Nothobranchius furzeri: one gene and its partners. The protein of the gene in region 1 binds, or shares a complex with, the protein of each later gene. Links are inferred from orthologs where the notes say so. Each region holds a gene or a part of one and is shown in the gene's direction. Other genes may lie near its edges. The genes, in order: pigh, dpm2, pigp, pigq, piga and phosphatidylinositol N-acetylglucosaminyltransferase subunit Y.

The links.
Region 2: pigh (region 1) and dpm2 share a complex: the UniProt entries of both Homo sapiens proteins name them as parts of the glycosylphosphatidylinositol-N-acetylglucosaminyltransferase (GPI-GnT) complex. The link is inferred for Nothobranchius furzeri from reciprocal best matches to the Homo sapiens genes PIGH and DPM2.
Region 3: pigh (region 1) and pigp share a complex: the UniProt entries of both Homo sapiens proteins name them as parts of the glycosylphosphatidylinositol-N-acetylglucosaminyltransferase (GPI-GnT) complex. The link is inferred for Nothobranchius furzeri from reciprocal best matches to the Homo sapiens genes PIGH and PIGP.
Region 4: pigh (region 1) and pigq share a complex: the UniProt entries of both Homo sapiens proteins name them as parts of the glycosylphosphatidylinositol-N-acetylglucosaminyltransferase (GPI-GnT) complex. The link is inferred for Nothobranchius furzeri from reciprocal best matches to the Homo sapiens genes PIGH and PIGQ.
Region 5: pigh (region 1) and piga share a complex: the UniProt entries of both Homo sapiens proteins name them as parts of the glycosylphosphatidylinositol-N-acetylglucosaminyltransferase (GPI-GnT) complex. The link is inferred for Nothobranchius furzeri from reciprocal best matches to the Homo sapiens genes PIGH and PIGA.
Region 6: pigh (region 1) and phosphatidylinositol N-acetylglucosaminyltransferase subunit Y share a complex: the UniProt entries of both Homo sapiens proteins name them as parts of the glycosylphosphatidylinositol-N-acetylglucosaminyltransferase (GPI-GnT) complex. The link is inferred for Nothobranchius furzeri from reciprocal best matches to the Homo sapiens genes PIGH and PIGY.

The regions. Positions count from the first base shown.
Region 1 is NC_091742.1:25,590,636-25,594,306, reverse strand, and holds pigh (phosphatidylinositol N-acetylglucosaminyltransferase subunit H), read left to right. Parts: upstream 1-1,193; 5' UTR 1,194-1,448; coding exon 1,449-1,625; intron 1,626-2,386; coding exon 2,387-2,596; intron 2,597-2,664; coding exon 2,665-2,748; intron 2,749-2,849; coding exon 2,850-2,924; 3' UTR 2,925-3,171; downstream 3,172-3,671. Other genes in the region: zfyve1 (zinc finger FYVE domain-containing protein 1), read right to left, coding at 1-70. UniProt on the Homo sapiens protein: Part of the glycosylphosphatidylinositol-N-acetylglucosaminyltransferase (GPI-GnT) complex that catalyzes the transfer of N-acetylglucosamine from UDP-N-acetylglucosamine to phosphatidylinositol and participates in the first step of GPI biosynthesis.
Region 2 is NC_091746.1:70,780,029-70,782,254, reverse strand, and holds the end of dpm2 (dolichol phosphate-mannose biosynthesis regulatory protein), read left to right. Parts: intron 1-670; coding exon 671-760; intron 761-887; coding exon 888-990; intron 991-1,110; coding exon 1,111-1,166; 3' UTR 1,167-1,726; downstream 1,727-2,226. UniProt on the Homo sapiens protein: Regulates the biosynthesis of dolichol phosphate-mannose. Regulatory subunit of the dolichol-phosphate mannose (DPM) synthase complex; essential for the ER localization and stable expression of DPM1.
Region 3 is NC_091756.1:33,916,769-33,920,615, forward strand, and holds pigp (phosphatidylinositol N-acetylglucosaminyltransferase subunit P), read left to right. Parts: upstream 1-1,322; 5' UTR 1,323-1,491; intron 1,492-1,575; 5' UTR 1,576-1,578; coding exon 1,579-1,660; intron 1,661-2,416; coding exon 2,417-2,489; intron 2,490-2,576; coding exon 2,577-2,695; intron 2,696-2,803; coding exon 2,804-2,919; 3' UTR 2,920-3,347; downstream 3,348-3,847. Other genes in the region: rexo4 (RNA exonuclease 4), read right to left, coding at 77-223, 307-611, 685-882. UniProt on the Homo sapiens protein: Part of the glycosylphosphatidylinositol-N-acetylglucosaminyltransferase (GPI-GnT) complex that catalyzes the transfer of N-acetylglucosamine from UDP-N-acetylglucosamine to phosphatidylinositol and participates in the first step of GPI biosynthesis.
Region 4 is NC_091745.1:17,739,454-17,743,538, forward strand, and holds the start of pigq (phosphatidylinositol N-acetylglucosaminyltransferase subunit Q), read left to right. Parts: upstream 1-1,285; 5' UTR 1,286-1,418; intron 1,419-2,309; exon of another isoform or gene 2,310-2,437; intron 2,438-3,487; 5' UTR 3,488-3,500; coding exon 3,501-3,653; intron 3,654-3,860; coding exon 3,861-4,083; intron 4,084-4,085. Other genes in the region: protein-lysine N-methyltransferase EEF2KMT, read right to left, coding at 441-521, 598-648, 762-863. UniProt on the Homo sapiens protein: Part of the glycosylphosphatidylinositol-N-acetylglucosaminyltransferase (GPI-GnT) complex that catalyzes the transfer of N-acetylglucosamine from UDP-N-acetylglucosamine to phosphatidylinositol and participates in the first step of GPI biosynthesis.
Region 5 is NC_091754.1:25,454,401-25,457,900, forward strand, and holds the end of piga (phosphatidylinositol N-acetylglucosaminyltransferase subunit A), read left to right. Parts: intron 1-2,299; coding exon 2,300-2,506; intron 2,507-2,578; coding exon 2,579-2,815; 3' UTR 2,816-3,022; downstream 3,023-3,500. UniProt on the Homo sapiens protein: Catalytic subunit of the glycosylphosphatidylinositol-N-acetylglucosaminyltransferase (GPI-GnT) complex that catalyzes the transfer of N-acetylglucosamine from UDP-N-acetylglucosamine to phosphatidylinositol and participates in the first step of GPI biosynthesis.
Region 6 is NC_091744.1:85,184,409-85,186,682, reverse strand, and holds phosphatidylinositol N-acetylglucosaminyltransferase subunit Y, read left to right. Parts: upstream 1-1,265; coding exon 1,266-1,478; 3' UTR 1,479-1,774; downstream 1,775-2,274. Other genes in the region: pyurf (protein preY, mitochondrial), read left to right, coding at 1,032-1,173; triadin, read right to left, coding at 2,014-2,148. UniProt on the Homo sapiens protein: Part of the glycosylphosphatidylinositol-N-acetylglucosaminyltransferase (GPI-GnT) complex that catalyzes the transfer of N-acetylglucosamine from UDP-N-acetylglucosamine to phosphatidylinositol and participates in the first step of GPI biosynthesis.

The DNA.
Region 1 (3,671 bases):
AGGCGTAGCTCTCCTGGCAGACGAGGACCGTGTTCATCCCTTTGTCCACTGCTGGACTCTGACCACTCATGTTAAACCTGGAAAGTCACAAATCTGATAATAAATCTGGACGGCCTGTGTGGAAATGGACATTTAGTTGGACCACTAAATAAGAGGAGATGTCATCTCTTCAATACTAACAATGTCATCAACGTAAGGCTCAGACCCTTTGATTTCACAACAACAACAACAATAATGTTGACAAACACAAAGGCTAGTAATGCCATTTTTGTCATTTTGGCATAAAACAAAGTTAGGTAGCACTGGCAGCTTTGGATACACCTCCCTCAATCATTTCTCTTTTGTTTATTTATATGGAGGGAGTTGTTTGTTTGTTTTGGACATGTTGCAACACAACCAGACGGTGTTGAGTGTCTAATTACAGCTCTCCAAGCTCGACAAGAGTGTCCAACTTTCCCCACATCAGCCAGTAAACAGCCTAGCTAAGACTCGCTACTACACAAAGAGACACGGTTCAAACATAACAAGTAGTATTTTTAGTCCACTGACCTACCTAACGGTGGCTTCCCGTCCAACAGACGATTTTTTTTTTCTAAAAACGATGTCCCGACGAGACCTAACCCCAGGAATTATAATCTAGGACCATTTTACCAACCGCCACATAGCTAACCAGCCGGCTGAGCAAAGCTGTTGTATCAGCATCTCGTCAGAGATGTTGTTGCAGCTGATCGGCTTGTTTTTACCCAGAGGTCAAAAGCCATTGAAACGCAATGCATGGTGGGAAATGAAGTCCGTTGTCCTGGCTCTTCTTGTACACATTAAAATCTGTGGATATCTATTTTATTTATAAAAATGCTAAAACACTTGAATTTCTGTTATACAGTTAAATAAATTTTAATAAAAGATACAAAACGACTCAAACGAATAAAGATGAAGAGTTTACGCATTACGGCCAGTACCCACAATGCTTTGCGTCTTCCAGCTGCTTTTACGATCGCTTGTATTGCCACCGGTGCACGCCGAGACAAGTGTTGATTTTGAAACGATCTGGTTAAAATCATATTAATGATCCATGACATACTATAAATGTTAATGTGTATTGATAGTATTGAAATGTATATGGTTGCTGAAATGCAGACGTTTCTTTGTTTATCAGCTCTATTGTTTAAGCACAACTTGTACTCGGGACGTCCAGGTGTCTAAAACAATGCATCAGAGGTGGAGCTAGGTGATTCAGTAGCTTAGGGATTTTTATTTTTTGGTTAAACAAAAGTTGCTTGTGTTTTTTTCTCAGTTTTTTGTTCACGTCTGCCCTTATATTGCGTAGCAAAATAATATTTATAACAGAAGGCGTTAGCTCACTGCTAATTCTGACTAGGTCACCTAGCTGCTAGCACTAGCTAAGTGCTAGCTTTTCTCCTTCATACTCTACATTTGGGCTTTACACAATGGAGGAAGAAGCCTTCACAGACATAAATGGCAAACCAATTACTCTGGACTGCCATAGTCACTCCAGCTTTTGCAGGGAGTTTACTGTTAGCTCTCCCAAGGTGTCCATTGGGAAGGTGATGGTCTACACCTGCTCTGTGTGGCTGTTAGCTTATGCTGTGTTCTTCTTCACACAGGTAAGACAAGGTATTTCAGGTTCCTTTAAATCACTGGTGTCCGGTCCTTGTCCTCGATGGCCACTACCCTGCATGTTTTAGTAGTTTCCCTGTTCCAACACGTGATCCAGTGGTTACATTACATGTTCAGTAGGCGCTCAAGCTCTGCAGAACTATGATGCAATCCCTACTGTTAACAATCTGTTGTGTTGAAGCAGAGAAACCTCTAACCTGCAGATCGGTGGCTCTTGAGGACCATGACTCGAGACCACTGTGCTTTTTATCATTTACTATAATATTAAAATGCTCTCTGGGGAGATGTCAAATATTCGAGATTTAGTCAAAGACAATAAAACAAAAAATCAAAATTTGGTGAGGTTCTCAGTTCTCATATCAAAATATGCTTTTAAGTAATTTTATAACATTTTATAAATGCTATTTTTGTAGACAGTAGTGTAAGTTTATGATCTTAATACTCTGTTTATTTTATTGTTTTAATGATTTAAATCCACAAAAAAAAAAAGTCAGCTAATTCTGGCATATATAGCATGATCAGCTTAACCAGTAATCAATGAGTCTGAATCTAAATTTTTTTTCTTTATTTGCCAAGTCTGTGAATGCACCATTGACAAATAGAAATAGAAAAATCTTTAAAAAAAAAATTCTGGTCATTAAACTCACCTTTACTAACCAATATTTCACACAAATGGTATCAGCATCCATATCCACAATCAGTGCATTTTCTCTAAAATCTGCATGCAATCGTTTCCTCTCTCTTTTAGAACACAGCGGTTCTCTCCAGTGCTATCCTCATCACCCTCGTTGGGATGATGCTTCACATCCATTTTGTGAAGGTAGACCACGAGTCTCTTCTGGTGATCGGCTCCTTGGGCATCCAGGTGTCCTCCAGCTACGCCTCAGGTCGCGAGGTCACCACTTTCATTGAGATGAGCAAGATCAAAGATATTGTCATCAATGAAGCTATTTACATGGTGTGTAAGCAGATGTAAATATAAGTTTTCAGGGAGACTTGTATTAAAATGAAATGCTTTTATTTCAGCATCAGATCATCTATTACCTGTGTGTGCTGTTGAAGGAGCCTTTCGAGCCTAATGAAGTGTCAAGTGTTGTGCCGTTGTTTCAGGTGAGCGTCAAAGTCAGTTTTTTCTTCATCTTTCTTCTATAACACACACACACACACACACAAAGAAAACCTCTGATGAATGTCCCTTTTTTAACTTTCAGAGCTCAAAACCTCGTCTCGGCTGCTTGGTGAAAGTTTACAAAAGCTGCCAGGAGATTCTTTCAACGTGCCAATAACCCTCCAGATTGAAATAATAACAAGCCTAGGTGATGTGTTTTAGGAAAATTAGCCAATTCTCTATAACGCATGAAAGCAAAACAATGATTTCTTCATTGTTTGTAATTTTTTCCTAGTTTTCCACCTTCATGAATAAATTCATGTGAGGTGATTGTGATCTTTTGCCAAATTTTGAAGATTAGTTTCACAGTTTAATTGTTTTTCTTTGTCGTGTTTATGATTTTTATATCAGCACTGACCTTTATTGCTAATCTAATTTTCCATTGATATAATTAAACTTTTCATTATTTTGGGATTAATGGTTAGAATAAACCAAGTAGAGGGAGCTGTTTTGTTTATAATGATGCATTTCTTTGTGTTTTAAGAAGTAATTTAAACATAATTGAATCAAGTTCCTGTTTTCTTGTTTGTTGATCACTCCCTGTTTTACCAGTAGAGGGCAGAACTACATTTTAAAACAGGAACCATCACTAGTTTCATGTTAGTTCCCAGAAAGACTCTTTATGCTTATGCAGCTTGTTTTAGTTGGTGTTTGTTACAGTCTTGATTAGTACATCAACCATTCTGGTTTTATTAGCTTGGATTACACAAAGAACTTAAAGATTTATGTGGATATTTTTTACCTTGTGTTTATGAATTTTTTATGTAAATTATTAGACATTATATGAATGTACCTTAAAATACTCGCTCATAAATCACGCACCTTCATTCTTTAGAGGTTGGATGTTTTCCTTGTTAGTGTTAAA
Region 2 (2,226 bases), on another chromosome or scaffold:
TGCAGCCCTTATTTGTTTTATTTGTTTGGGGTTATGGTTTACCAAAATAAATGTCATATCTGTGATTTATTGTATTTACAACAACGGAAGTGACACATCAGAGCTTTCTGGTTAATTTGTTTACATTTTCATAACAAACAAAATCAAGAATCAGCAGATTTGAACTAAAGTCTTGTGTTCAAAGTTTGAATGGAGTTTTTAAATGAACGGCATCAGAAACATGATTAAATAAGACATTAGGCCAAACCAAGAAATGCACCAGTCCTTCAGTAGTTTATTTTGGGTGATTACACTTTTTTTCTATTTAAAATATATTTATTATATATTAATAGATAATATATTTATAGATATAAACTACATAAATAAATGATATAAAATTAAAAAATAAAATAATACTTAAAAGAATAAACTTTGAGTCATTCCCAGAACCACCGTACCGATGCCGGATCCTGCAGCTTTTTATAAGACTGTATTTAATTCACACACACACACACACACACACACACACACACACACACACACACACACACACACACACACACACACACACACACACACACACACACACACACACACGCGCGCACACAAACACCTCACTGTTTATCTCTGATTCTTCCTGTTGATGATCAGGAAGCTGGATCTTGATCCCAGGCTGCATTTGTGCTTCCAGGCGTCGGGAGCAGATCAGGCGGTCGGGATGAGTCTCGTTGTTTTCAGCCTCCTGTTGTTCTCCTACTACACTGTTTGGGTCATCGTTCTGGTGGGTTCTGTTGGGTGTTTGCAGCTAACATTTCTCTAAATGAAACATCTTCCATGTCCTCATCTTGAGTTCTGTATCTGATCATGTGACTTGAGCTTCATTAGGTCACCTTTGTGTTACTTTCCAGCCTTTTGTAGACTCGGATCACCCCCTGCACAGATGTTTCCTTCCTCGGGAATATTCTGTGATCCTACCAGGTGTTGCTGCAGTAATCTTTGTCCTCTTTGTTGGTCAGTATCTTCACTCATAAACTTCTTCATTAAAACATTCTGTTTATTTTCTGTCGCATGAATATGGGATGTTGATGTTTTCCGTGGATGAGAGGAGATGACTCTGTGCTTCCTCTGCAGGAGCCTTCACTACCTTCATCATGTGGAAGGACCACAAACCAAAGAAAGTGGCCTAAGGAGGATTGAACCCCTTAAAGGTTATTCCTGCTGGCGGCGACACCAGAACCACCAGCTCATACTTTTGTTCTGCACAATAGACTTTTTCCTGCAGTTATAAACAACATGTTCTTCTGCAAAGAAGAGAAATGTCCCTTTGATGCCCTTCCGCTTCAGACGTCATTTATAGCGCGTTGGCGCCACCTAGTGGCCCAGCTCGTACTACACGATGGAGAAAACGTTCTGCAGATTCAGACTTGGTTCTATTCAGGTCTCAGAGGACTTCACTAGAACCAGACCGGTTCTATAAGATCACACCTGCTGCAGCAGAGAACCAGAGGTCACATGTCTAGATGATGTCAACATTCACCTGATTTAACCAGATTTTATTTGAATGTTTAGAAAGAGTAAATGTTTAAATGGAGCCTGTTTGAATCCGTTTCACATCCAGATGTGTTCACTCAAAGCAGACCGACTGACATCTGAGTGCTGAAATCCAGCTGTTCTGGTGTTTTACTGCAGCTGGAGTTCCCGGATGATCGTTTTTCTAAAATAAAACTAAAATGTTTTCTGCTTTGGATCTGCGCTCGTTTCTAACTCACAGACATGATGATGATAGAAAAGAGTTCAGAACCCGGAACCAGGATCTCCTCCAGGCCTGGGCCTGATCTGGACCTGCACCAGGCTCAGCCTCAGCTTGACCAATCAGTGCCTGTGTGGGGGGGTGGGGGGTGTAGAAGCTTCCGGAGCCTCCAGCTGGACCAAACTGTTGTCAGCTATTCATCGTTCTGCACCATCACTGCATGACGTTGCAGAACCGGTTCCTGCAAGTGGTTCGGTCCGTTTCGGTGGTTCGGTCCGTGCGTGTCACCGGGTGGGACCCGGTCCGTGGTGCGACCAGGCTCCGCGCGGACATGTGAGTCAGAGACCCGAACCCACCGAGCCGGCTCCGAGCTGCGGTCCGTTCTGAGGTGAGTTCTGGTGATGATGATGATGATGAAGATCTGCGGCTCGCCTCTTTGATCTGGAGTAAACTTTATTTAGTTTCAACAGAATCAGGTTTATTACCAGAACATCCAT
Region 3 (3,847 bases), on another chromosome or scaffold:
GTGGTCAGTCATATCCTGGAAATAAAGTCCTGTCCAGCGTTCACACTAGAGGAAGCTTGTTTTTACAGCTACTCACCCCTCAAAACACTTCTCCTTCACCAGCATGCTCTCTGTGTCTTTGCTCTGGTGTTTGCCCTGTTTCCTCCTCAGGATCTCTGCAGCTTCTGCTCCCAACGTCTCCTCAGCATCATCAGGATCTACATCATCGAACCAAAGATCGTCCCTGCAACAAAACACAATAAAGAGTTAGGAATACAAAACTACTCTGGTCCACAATGTCTTCTAAAATCAGTACGGTGTACACACTCTGTAGGCTTCCTCTCCTCTACCACTGGTTTATTCCTCTTGGCTTTCTGCTCGCTGTTGGACTTTCCTTTGTCCCGTTTCCTTTTAGGAGCAGCTGGCTGCGGAGTGTTGGAGGCAGCTGGAACATCAGAGTTCACCTCTGATTCCTTTTGAATGGCAAATTTAGGAGCAACTGTGTGCTTGACTTTAGTCTCATTGTCTTTTTCACTGGGAGTCTTGGGAATATTTTTTAAAGTTTTCTTTGGAAAGACATTCTGTTTGGGTGACACAGGGAGCTTCTTCTCTGGCTTACTGGCATTTAGCATCTGTGGAAGGTTTCAGAAAAATCAGATTAACTTTGTAAATACACACCAGCATCACACTGATGCACAGACAAACCTCTTGGAGAGCTTTCCAGTTAGAGGAGAACTGCTGAGCCTCCTCTGGAGGTGTAGGCAGGTGAGGTTGGTGCTTCTGAGGAGCTGAAATCTTCTGAAATTTGTTTTTCGAGTTGTGTTTTATCCAAAACTCCTTCCTCTTAACTTTAGCTGTGGATTTAGGGTCAGAATGTGCTTTCTTCTTCTTCGCCTTAGACATTATGGAAAGTGTTTTTTAACAAGAAGTTGTTAAACTAAACGTTGTCAGCCATGCTGACATTTCAAAAACAATAGACAATGGCTGTTACCGCTGTCACTTAAAGTAATGTCTCCTTACCAAAAATCTGCATCAAAAATAAAACACTAACGTAAACAAGCAGCTCATTTTTTACAGAACAGCAGATAAACGTGGTTCTGCGTTCAGTTCGCAAATTCCGAAGCCATGCTGCGTTCGTTTTCCCGGCTGAGCAACAGCCAAATGGGTCCGATATGAACAAGACATCCCAGTATGAAACGTTCTACATAGTTTGAAAGCACTCTAATATTCAAATGTTTATTTTCTGTAAATATGTACTAAATCATATAAATTAGTAAATCTTCAAACAATTTAATTTGATGTCATATTTTTGTCTAGTGTATCAAAAGCGGAACTGCTTACCCGGGAAATTTTTCCGACCGAACTAACGCTGGTGCAAACTCGCAGCTGTTCTTAGGTTTTGTTGGAAATGTTTCCTGTTAGTATTATTTTAGAAATCCAGCTTTATTTACTCGTTATTTAGAAACGTAGGGGCACAAATGTTGTGAAAATTCGGAAATTTTATGAACTGAGGTAAGATGACAGAAGTATTTAAGGATGTTTTAGACTCTGGTTTGTGTTGCTTGCTTATTTCCTCTGCTTCCTGTTTGGTTTCAGATCATGGTTGAAAACTCTCCGTCTCCTGTCCCCGAGAGAGCTATTTATGGGTTTGTTCTCTTCCTTGGCTCACAGTTTGGTTTCTGTAAGTCAAAAATAATTATTTTATTCTGTTTTGCACACACACACACACTAGAACGCATCTTTTAGGTGACAGGTCAAGACTGTTCTTCCTGTATAAAATCAGAAGTAAATGATCTTTATGTTTACCTGTAAATGTGTCTGTAGTGTTTTGTTTTATTTTTTATATTCATCCTAGCTAATACACAATCTTACGTTTGTCTTGTGTTTTTAAAAGCTGACACAAGTAAAGATGGAAGACAAAACACAGCGGTGATCTCAACACTTTAAAGGATACACCTTTGTTAATTTTTTTTCACAACTCCCATGTGTGGTGTCAGGGTTAGCGTCCAAGCAGCAATGCCCCTAAAACAAAAACAGTTCTATTTGTTTGGACATCTCTGCTTTTGTGGCAGCTCTTTTCTACCTTTATGGCAGCCATCATATGACTGATTGACCATGTTTAAGTTTAATTATTTAGTGTCCGTGTTCAATTTAAACAAATGTTCGACTGTTTAAAGAAATGTTATTTGATTAAACTCCTAATCACACATTTGAATGTGAGGTTAGATTATTTCTATTAGAAGAAAGGCTATTTATTATGATAATTTAGCTTCTCGTATGTTTTATTCCTCAATGCACATCATGACCTGCTGACATAAATCAGTGCCTGCAGTCTCTTTAAAGTCAAATGCTAGCTATAGTTTCCCAACTCACTGAGTAATTGTGATTTAAGGGACTGAAGATAAATAATAACTATATTTCTCCTCCCTCTCCACAGTTCTGTACTGCTTGTGGGCATTTATACCAGAGGAGTGGCTGCATTCAATTGGACTCACATACTGGCCTCAAAAGTCTGCATCACCTTTAAAATCCAGATCAGATTTCCCACCGACATTTGGCATTTGGGATTTCTAACAAAAACTCCCTGTTCTGCACAGATACTGGGCTCTTGCAATGCCAATCTACCTGCTGGTTGCAATATCGGTGTCATTTTTGGTGTTGTTTGGGATAAACATGACCAACACTGCTCCACTGGACTCTGTGGACAACATCACAGGTGAGGTCTGATAGCATCCCAGCTGTTATCTATGAAAGGAATAAGTGTCAAATAGCAGTTTAAAAACTAAATATTTAGTGTACATTTTGTCTTGTTTTTGTGTTACAGATGTATTCGCACAAGGCCAGAGGGCCGACAGCGACTGCAAAGGCGGAGTTCCTCGACTTAAAGATGTGTCCGTTAGTGAGGTCAACAGAATGTTTTATTTGTCCCCTGAAACATAATTGATAAACTGAGTTGTTGGCAGAGTAAAACTATCTGTGTTTTACCTGGTTTGTGTTTTAAAAAACTGTTAAATGTGTAATATATGATTTGTTCTTCAAAAATAGCCTCACAACTATTTTACAATACCCGTCTAACCTTTTGATTATTTTCAGTTTCATGAAACAATCACAGATGTTATATTTATCATTTAGTAAATATAAATGTAGAAAAAAGATCATTTTAAAGCTCAGTTTACCTGCTGGGATGACTTGATGGGGAAACAAGAGTCAAAAGAGCAACAGTAAATAACTTTGTGTTATTATGACTGGTTGTTACACTGATGATCTAAAGCATAACTGAAACTGTATAAAATATCTTCGTTTGTGAGAAACGGTGAAGTTTAAATTGTAAAAAATGAAGTAAAGTTTCCTGACAGAGAAACAAGGCATGTAAATCTCTTCTGAGCTTTATTGTAAGGTGTAATTTAGACAGGTGAAACGTGATAAATTACAAACGGTGCAAGTTTTCAATAATTCATCTTAAAAGATAAAACTACTATATGAGACACTCATTACATGCAAAGCCAGATATTTTAAGCCTTTATCTGTTATAATTGTAATGGTTATGGCTTGCAGCGTATGAAAAATCTCAGACAATTAGAATATTACATCATATCAATAAAACAAGGATTTTAAATAGAGAAATGTCAGACCTTTGAAAAAGTATAATCATACCTGTGTACTCAGTATTTGGTTTGAGCCCCTTTATTGTTTATTGAATTAAATGAACTTTTGCACGATTTTCAAACTTTTCAAATTTCACCTGTATGTGTAAATGAAATTTTCTTGCGTTTAAGCCACTTTTTTTAGTGAGTAACTGCAGAGATGGGTTACTGAGTGTGGGACTTGAGAGGCTCTTAAAGCTGCTAAAAATAACTATTGGGCATGA
Region 4 (4,085 bases), on another chromosome or scaffold:
CGGAGACAGAGAAAGAAGAAATTCAAACCATCTCTTCCATCGATCATAATGGGCAATGTGAGATCACTGGCCAACAAGATGGAGGAACTCCAAGCCCTTTCAAGGACTCAGCCAGAGTTTCGGCAGTTTCGGAACCGCTGGAGGAGGTAATGCAAAGAAGGATTCTCCAGAGAATCAAGAAAATGATGGACAACCCTGAGCATTCTCTTCACAAGACTGTCCGACAACGGAAGAGTGTCTTCAGTCAGAGGCTTCTTCAGTTTGGCTGCAACACTGACTGCTACTGGAGATCCTTCCTGCCAACAGCCATTGTAATATACAACTCTTTGATGACTTGATTATTATTATTATTCTGAGCTACTACAGCAATCAATTTCCCTCTGAGATTAATAAAGTATTTTTGAATTGAACTATCAAAATAAAGTGATGCAGGAACCGACCCGTTTGATGAGTTCAGACAGAAACAGCCTTCTGTATCTGACTGAGGGAGGAAACCTCCTGCACAAAGGATGAAGACACGTCTGTCAAACAAATAACACATTTGTTTATTCCTTGATAATCGTGGATGTTAGGTAATAATGACTGAATACCTCTTACCTGCTTCAGAAGATCTAAAATAAACTCTGCTAACTCATCATTCTCTATCACCTGTGGTGGAGGAAACAGAACTGAGCTTTATATTTGCTACTTCACGTGAGGGAATTCCTCCTGCAGCAGCTAAACACGTCCACGCGTGATTTTGTGTGCTGTCTCATACTCACAGTCCACGGAAACGACGTTAGACGCTTCATAGCAAAAAACGACGCCCTAAATTCTATTAAAACCTCTCCGTTTTTCTCCTTTCTCTGCTCTGAAACCGCCATCTTTCACGTGTGTTTGTTTACTTCCTGCATACCCACAATGCCGTTAGTCGCAGGCATATGTCGATGGCCGCAGGTGCAGCTGGGTAATGCAGTTTAACTTTTAATTCTTTGTCTCAACCAGACCACTACATTTAAAAATAAGTCGCTGCAGCTGTATAAAAATGAGAAAGCTTTTACCTCAGAACAATATTAACACATAAATACAACAAATAGCAACAATATGGTTTAAATGAAACCTATCAATAAAATATTGAATTTCTTTAAAATAGGTTTTTAGACAATCAGCTTAAAAATTGGTAAGTTACAACCTGAAATAAAACAGGAATAATTTATTATTATTATTATTATTATTATTATTATTATTATTATTATTATTATTATTATTATTATTAGTAGTAGTAGTAGTAGTAGTAGTAGTAGTAGTAGTAGTAGTAGTAGTAGTACTGCTCTTTTATCAGCTGTGTTTTCCTCCCGCGCTTTTCTTGCTATGTCACTGCAGGGGGAGATAAATGTCTTTACAGTTAAGACTCTTGAACAGCAGCAGGACCTGAGCTGGTGAGCCACAACATTCTTTTATTTCTTTGTCTGTTGGATCCACCTCTCACTCTATTGATGTTTTGTTTTCTATCATATTTTTGATATACTGAGAGAAGATGTTAGTGTTCTGGTAATTTTCTTCTTAAACCGAATATGTGATGTATGTACCACAAAACAACACATTGACTTACTCCCAGACACGAAAACGTCGTTTGTGTCTCAAGTTCTTCATGAGCTCGTTATTTACCCGTTGATTAAAACCAAGTGAGTTGGTGTAGAGAAAAACAAAACATGCAGGTAGTGGCTCTGCAGTCCTGCAGGGAATACTTAAAATGCTCGTTTGTTGAAGTGTCAGAGAATGGCTGCAAGAGGGAGACAGCTGTCCGTCACCAAGTCAATTGTCTAATAACTTTATTACAGTGTAGAATCACTGGTGCAGTATAACATAAGACACAATACACAATTGTATAAATGTACTTCTCACTCTTTTAATTCAACACGTTTTCTAAAACACTATAATTTAACGCATCCATCAATGTTTATTTTACCAGGGGGACAAGGACAGCAAAATGTTGATTTTTTTGGCACCCTTTACAGGAGGTGCCAGATCTGTGGTGCCATTTTTATTTTTATTTATTTTTTGCCAGTGACAGTACGGTTGTCATGATTTCTGTTTATTTTAGAACGAAAATCAAACCATTTGTAAATCGAATTCTGATCACAGCACGATTCGGGTTTTTTATTTTGAAATTTTTTATTTTTTTATTATAAAATATCCAAACATCCTTGTTTATTATTAATGGTGTCTCATGAAAACACAAATAACGATTTTTACATTTAGTTTTAGTTATTTATTATTTTAATTAAAGAGCAGTTGCTAATAGGAACTTACATTCACGCGCGTTTCTGACCGAACACTTCGAGGGACGGACTGTAAACAACGTGAATGAAAGCTGTTTCAACCGATGGTTTCAACGTAGGAAACTTCACTCTTGGGTTCAGATGGAAGGTGAACGTTTGTAGTCGTGTTAGAAAAGGTAAGTATGCACCGCTCTTCTGTCTTACATTTATAATGATGTTGGACGTTCAAACAGGGCCGCGTTGAGTCGTTTGTTCGGTGTGAACCTTGTTGAATTTTCGGACTGTCGACAAAATAAACTCGCTTTTTCGTCGTATTGGGACCGATTCAATCGTTTGGGAGTGAGTTGTTTATGTTTTTATGATGTTACAATATATTTTCATTTGTATTCCTCTGCTAAATCAACAGTTAATCGCCATGCTGTTCCTAACTTGTTGGATCGAAATCATTGTCAGTGGAATCAATGACATTTCCGCTCTGGGCTCGTTGCGTTGCCATAACAACCGGGGTGGACTCGATATTTCAAGGGCAAAAAGTAGACCAGCCGGTTTCAGAGATCTCCGAACTCATTGTATAAATCGGCCAACTCAAAGTCTTTCCTCCGCCAGCTCTTTTCTGTAGACGCACGTCTGTCTCCTCAGTTCACGTTGTAATTGAATTTCATTCGGCTCAACTACATTTAGCGGTATAAAGACATAAAACACAGAGGATGAACCAAAGTCCTCAATTCTGTATTTTAATTTCAAGCAGCCAGACTTTCATAATTAGTTTTTTTGCACTTAAATTTTATTTTATTTCAAGTGAACCTAAGATCTGACTTTGAGTTGCATCACTACATCAACCTTTGTTGAGATGACCTGCTGGCCTATGATGCACTTCAGTTTTCTGGTATTGTTTCTCTACGTTTGGTTTAGTTTTGTGGTAAATCACTAACAAACAACAAAGTGTGATTTGTCCTGTTGGTGTTGCTCATCTGAGACCAAATCATTCGTCTGAATCTATAAATCTAAAATAACTTCTGTATAAAGTTTAGCAGCTGCTTTATCAAAAGCCAGGTGAGATCACATTTCTTCTCACAGTCAGATCTTAATCCTGTTGACAAAACAGTGAACTGTACTACACTATAATCTTTAAATTTCAACACACCAAACCTGAGATTTAAGTTGTAGTTTTATTGTGTAAATATTAAACGTCAAGCTGATTTTGTTTTTACTTGATGTTTCATTAGATCCACTGTAGTCATGGTGCTGAAGATCTTCTTCCCGCAATGCTGCAACCGAGCTGACAGCGGGCTGCTGGTGGGCCGCTGGATCGCTGGTCATGACTCGGCTGTGGTTCTAGCGGTCATCCACTACCCGTTCATCCCTGGACAGGTGAAGCAGTACATCCAGCAGGTTTGTGTCTCAGCAGAGCCCTTACTTTCCTTCATACGTCACTGGGGGTCCAAAACAACTGTGCTGTTCTGCATATTTAGAAAACTTTAGTACAGCAGAAAATATGTGAACTTTCAATGGTTTTATCACTAAGTGATGGTGTTCTTGTTTTTAAATTGGCAACAAATTAAATCTCTCTCAAATCTTTCCTCTCTCATCTCCTCCCAGATGCAGGCTCAGAGCGGGGTGGAGCTGTCTGTCCTTGGCTCCTGGAGTTTACCCAAAGAAGGTCAAGAGGGATTGGAGAGCTTCCTGAGGGACCTGAGCACCATCTTCCCTCAGGAACGTTGGCTCCAGATCAGTCGTCAGATGGGAAAGACAGGCTTCACCTGTGAGGTGCTCAGCCGCGATCAGAGTGAGAAACTCAACCTACTCACCTTCATTTTTTTATGT
Region 5 (3,500 bases), on another chromosome or scaffold:
CGCAGGTCAGATGAAACAACAACAAAGCCGATCATCGAGCTGCGGTCTAAGGTATCCAGGTGCCAAGAGCACATAGGGACACCTTTATGTCTGAACATGGTGTTCATTATGGACAATCCATGACTGGCACAGAAGTCCAAAAACAAAACACCCCTCGAATTCAGATCAGGGGGCCGTTCCTCCCAACCACACTTCTCCAGGTCTCACTGTTGTTGCCCACGTGAGCCTTAAAGTCCCCCAGCAGAACGAGGGAGTCACCGGAAGGAGCGCTTTCCAGCACCCCCTCCAAGGACTCCAAAATGGGTGTGTAGTCTGAACTGTAGTTTGGTGCATAAGCACAGACCACAGTCAGAACCCGTCCCCCCACACGTAGGCAGAGGGAGGCTACCCTCTCATTCACCGGGTTAAACCCCAACGTACAGGCACCACGATGGGGGGCAACTAGTATGTCCATCCCTGCTCGGCACCTCTCAGTGGGAGCAACTCCAGAGTGGTAGAAAGTCCAACCCCTCTCAAGGAAACTGGTTCCAGAGCCAGAGCCAGAGTCATGTGTTGAGGTGAGTCAGACTATATCTAGTCGGAACCTCTCAGCCTCACACACCAACTCAGGCTCCTTCCCCACCAGAGAGGTGACATTCCATGTGCCAAGAGCCAGCTTCTATAGCCGAGGATCAGACTGCCAAGGTCCCCTCCCTTGACTACCACCCGTCACACACTGCACCCGACCCCTTTGGCCCCTCCCACGAGTGGTGAGCCCATGGGAAGGGGGACCCACGTTTCCTCTTTGGGCTGTGCCCGGTCAGGTTCCATGGGTGAAAGCCCGGCCACCAGGCGCTCGCCAGCGTGCCCCACCTCCAGGCCTGGCTCCAGAGGGGGGCCCCAGTGACCCACGTCCGGGCGAGGGAACACGGTTTCCATTTATATAATTCATCATAAGAGGTCTTCGGGCTGCTCTTTGTCTGATCCATCACCTAGGACCTGTTTGCCATGGGTGACACCAGAGGCAGAAAGCCTCAGACAACTTAGCTCCTAGGATCATTGAGACACTCAAACCCCTCCACCACGGTAAGGTGGCAGCCCAGGGAGAGGGCCATATTTTGTCAAAAAACCTAAATCATTTCTCGTGTGTTATGTCCAGAGGACTTCTTTAGGGGGTGAATTGTGAGGGCTCTAGAGAGTCACAAATGAGCAAAAAAATATTTTTTGTTTTATCTGTCTCTTTTGTATGGTGTCAGATATTCAGAAAAACTCACATCCAGGTCCCTCACACAGAAAAAAGCTCCAACCTCCACCACCCACCAAAGCATGAAAAAATCTTTCCTCTGGTCATTTGTCGATTGCATTGAGTCATAAGTGCATGTATGTAAGTGTGCAGAATCACACAGAAAAAGCACATATACATCTGTTGTGTAGGATTTTGCACTGATATTAGACTTTGGGTGAGAACTGATTTTTCTAATGAAAACTGAAAAAAACACAGTCACATAAATTATGAAAACACATTTTATTTTTAGTAAACGTACCCAAAAACACACTCCGGAGCAAAATAAAAATAAAAAGAATTTCATCAACACAGCCAAAGTTATTCAAAAATACATGACTGCCTGCGCAACAAAATGCACGAGGGACCTCTAAGGGTTAAGGTAAATTCTTGCAAGGTATCAGATAGCTTGTTTGGCCCCCACGCAGTGTTTTCTCACTGATTCATGGAAAGTGTCTGCTCCTGTTTCCAGTTGGTTGAGCTTACACACAAGCAAAAGTTTGATCTCTTTTACATCTCTTACTTAGGTTTTACTTTCTGTGTAACAATAAACTAATCAGACCTAAATCTTTCATACAATTCATGATAATTGTGTAACTTTATCGTTAACAGATATAAACTAGTAGCAAACTAAATCTAGTCACATGTGAAAGTGTAAAGAAGTGAAACAACCTCATTAGTAAAATATTTCTTTGGTATGCATTCCAAGTAGGAAGCAGCTGGTTTTTGAGTCTTTGATTTGTCGTGTATCAGGATCACTAACTGATGCCTTTTGAACACTTTTCTGTAGGGTGCTTCTTTTCTGTCCGCTTTCACACATTCGTTTAAGTCTGCATCTTTTTTTAATAGAAAGGATTTTATTTTCAGAAACACTCCATATCTTTGGAATAGTGATGCTGAATTTAAAAATCTTCATTGTTTTATCTAAAACAAACAGATTCAGACTGATCTTTAGCTGTAGTGGAATAATTCTGATTTGCCTTATTAGAATGTTGGTTTTATCAACTCTGAGCAGCTCTTTTCCATCCTCCCTGGAAGGTTGTCAGCACTCGCGTCGGTGGCATTCCTGAGGTGTTGCCTGATGACTTAATAACCCTGTGTGAACCTACTGTGCGGTCGCTGTGTGATGGTTTGGAACAAGTCATCGCTAAGCAACGATCCGATTCTTTCCCCTCACCGGCTTCAATCCACAATCGTGTTAGAAACCTCTACACTTGGAAAAATGTCGCAGAGAGGACAGAAAAGGTACCAGAGGATGACTTGAATGATAGGATATCTGGTGTAGGTAATGACATCATCATATGTTTTTCCTCCCAGGTGTATGATAAAGTAGTTGGAGAAGAGGTCCTCCCTCTGGCCAAGAGGTTGCGGAGACTCCGGTCTCACTGTGGCCCCGTGGCTGGATCCATCTTTGCCTTTGTTGCCATGCTGGACTTCCTCTTCCTGCTGCTTCTGCAGTGGTTGTTGCCAGATCGGTTCATGGACGTGGCTGTTGATGCCACCGGCCCTCATGGACTGTGGAGACAGAAAACAAGCAGGAAAAAGTTTGACTGATTCCAAACTTGCCACAAAACGAGAAAACCCATCTCTCCTTCGGCCATCAGACTGTTTAAATGCTGTCTGTACTCGATCAAATGCTCAACGTTTACATTTTTCTAAACAAAGGGAACTTTGTGTGGAGGCTCTTCTCGGTAGTTAATAAGCACTTTTTATTTTTTCTTACACTCCCTGCTGCTCTGAACTAAAGCAGTGAAAACACTGGTTACAATAAAGCAGCAGCATCTGCTCTTAATCACGTCTAATAAAATAACAGTTGGTTTGATAAATTATTTGTTAGAGCACACGTTTATATTTATTTTTGGAAAGCTCTTGATTTTCCTGTCAGTCTATGTTCCAACCCTCACATATGGTCACAAGCTTTGAGTGGTGACCGAAAGAACGAGATCGCGGATACAAGCGGCAGAAATTAGATTTCTCCGCTGGGTGGCTGGGCTCTCCCACAAGCCCTTTTTACAAGGCGCACAGTTCTGGCATGGCGATGCGCAAATTTTGCAGCATTCCTTCCATCTCCTTGGTAGTAATATTGCTGTAATTGTCTGTCTTATTGCACCTTAGCGGCAAATTGACGGCATTGCTTTGTAAAAACCAACTGAGAGAAAGAGTGAGAAGCTTGGTCATCCAGGAGGGGCTCGGAGTAGAGCCGCTGCTCCTCCACGTTGAGAAGAGCCAGTTGTGGTGG
Region 6 (2,274 bases), on another chromosome or scaffold:
TCAGCGACACTGCAGCTTTTAGCACATTTCGCAAGATCTGATCATTATTTTTAGGATTTAAATAAAAAATGAAGTGATTTCTTTCAAAAGCTGCCAGGTTAATTGATTTTAATACCCAAAACCATTCCTAAATGGTGTTGCTAACTAAGCCAGACCATTGAGACACAGCAGTTTTTAACACCTTTCATACTAACTGATCTTTTTTATTAGGATTTTTATCAAAAATTAAGGGATTTCTTTCACTGGCTTAGTAACATCATTGGGAAATTGTTTTGGGCGTTTACATCAATTAAACAAGGATGTACTATGTTTGAATACATCCTACTTAAGAATTAGTCAAAGCTGCATTAGAGGCAGTGTAAAGGTGAAATCTACCCCCCCCCCCCCCCCACACACACACACACACACACACACACACACACACCGTCGTTGTCTTCCTCCGCTTATCCGGGTCGCGGGGGCAGCAAGAACCTACCCAGCGAGAGCTGAAGGTCAGAGCTGGATGAAGCTAGGAGGACCACATCATCCGCAAAAAGCAGAGACGAGATTCTCCTGCCTCCAAACTCGACACACTCCACACCACGACTGGCTCCGGCCACCTTGCGACCACAGCTAGCAACAGCCGCCTTAACAATCGCAGAGTGGAACAAGGCCCACTCGGAGTCAATGTCCCCCACTGGTCTCGGGACGCGGTCAAAGCTCTGCCGGAGGTGGGAGTTGAAGACCGTCTTGACAGGTTCTTCTGCCAGGCGTTCCCAGCAGACCCTCACTATGCGTTTGGGTCTGCCAGGTCTACGCGACATCTTCCCCTGCCATCTGATCTAACTCCCCACCAGGTGGTGATCAGTTGACAGCTCCGCTCCTCTCTTCACTCTGGTGTCCAAAACACACGGCCGCAGGTCGGATGATACGACTTCAAAGTCTATCATCGACCTGCGACCTAGGCATTCATTATTAGAAATGACTGAACCAACGCATAAAACAGTCTAATCTGTTTTCCAGATAACTGATGTTCTTTTTCTTTCCTCTAGGTATGATGCCAATACCAACGAGCTGATCAATGAGGAGCTTGGCATCGCCTATCCCATCATCGACGGCATCCCCAACATGATCCCCCAGGAGGCCAGACTCCTTCAGAAGGACACAGACGCTTCTAATCCACCTGCACAGTAACAGAAAGTCTATCAAAGACCTTCATTTGCCAGAAAACCGATTGAGCACTGCTATTTTTTTAAAGAAAAAAACTGTAAAGCTAATCTGCTAGAATGCTCTCCTTGTCCGTGATGGTGGGACTGGTCCCCATCGTGTCACTCATTGGCTTGTTCTACTCTGCAGCCGTGGATGAGAACTTCCCTCAAGGCTGCACCAGCGGCAACAGTCTGTGCTTCTACAGCCTGCTGCTGCCGGTCACCATCCCCGTCTACGTCTTCTTCCATCTCTGGAGCTGGATGGGGATCAAGCTCTTCAGACACAACTAGGATGCTCTCTGAAAACAACCCACGGCATGTTTTCTGATGCACTTTTACCTCCTTTACCAACTTCAGTAACATTATTTTCTTTATTTCATGTCTGTTAAAGTCTGCTAGACTTGGGTTTTACTTGTCTGGAAGTTTAGGCTTGCAGGTAGGACTCATAGTAACCGAGTCCGTGTAAACGCTAACTGCTACTGAACAAACTCCTGTTATAAAATGGATAAATGTAACCGATTTAACAACTGAACTTCTTGGATTTTTCCAGTTCTTGCAGAAAAGAATAAACAACTTTATTGGAATAAGTTACTTTTATTTGATAAAAACATTTTCACACAGAACAGCTATTTAATGTCTGTTTTATGAAATGTGAACGTACTTCAGGGAGGAACAATCCAGCAAACATGCCTGTACTTCAAACACAAACTATCATCTTTTCATGCAAAACAAAACAAGTTTTAAAAAAGCTCGAACTTTTAAGCCTTTGACCCAAAATGCTCCGAAACAAACAAGAACAGCTTTCATCGTACGTTCACGTCCTTCCTTAGTGACACTTTTTGCTTTTAGGGTTTCTGCCCTGAGAAAATTTGGTCAGCGGAGACTCCGGCCGAGGCGACTGCCATTCTCCTTTTGTCTTGAAGAAGAAGGGTTTGTTTAGTCTCAGCTGGACCGCTCCGACCTGGGGGGGGGGGGAGGCTCTCTGTTAAACAGTGACACTTGTAAAAAGAACCACAGTCTGATAAAAGCATGAGAGGTTTGTGATACGTAGCATATGATTCAGGGCTGTCCAACTCGGACCCTTTAG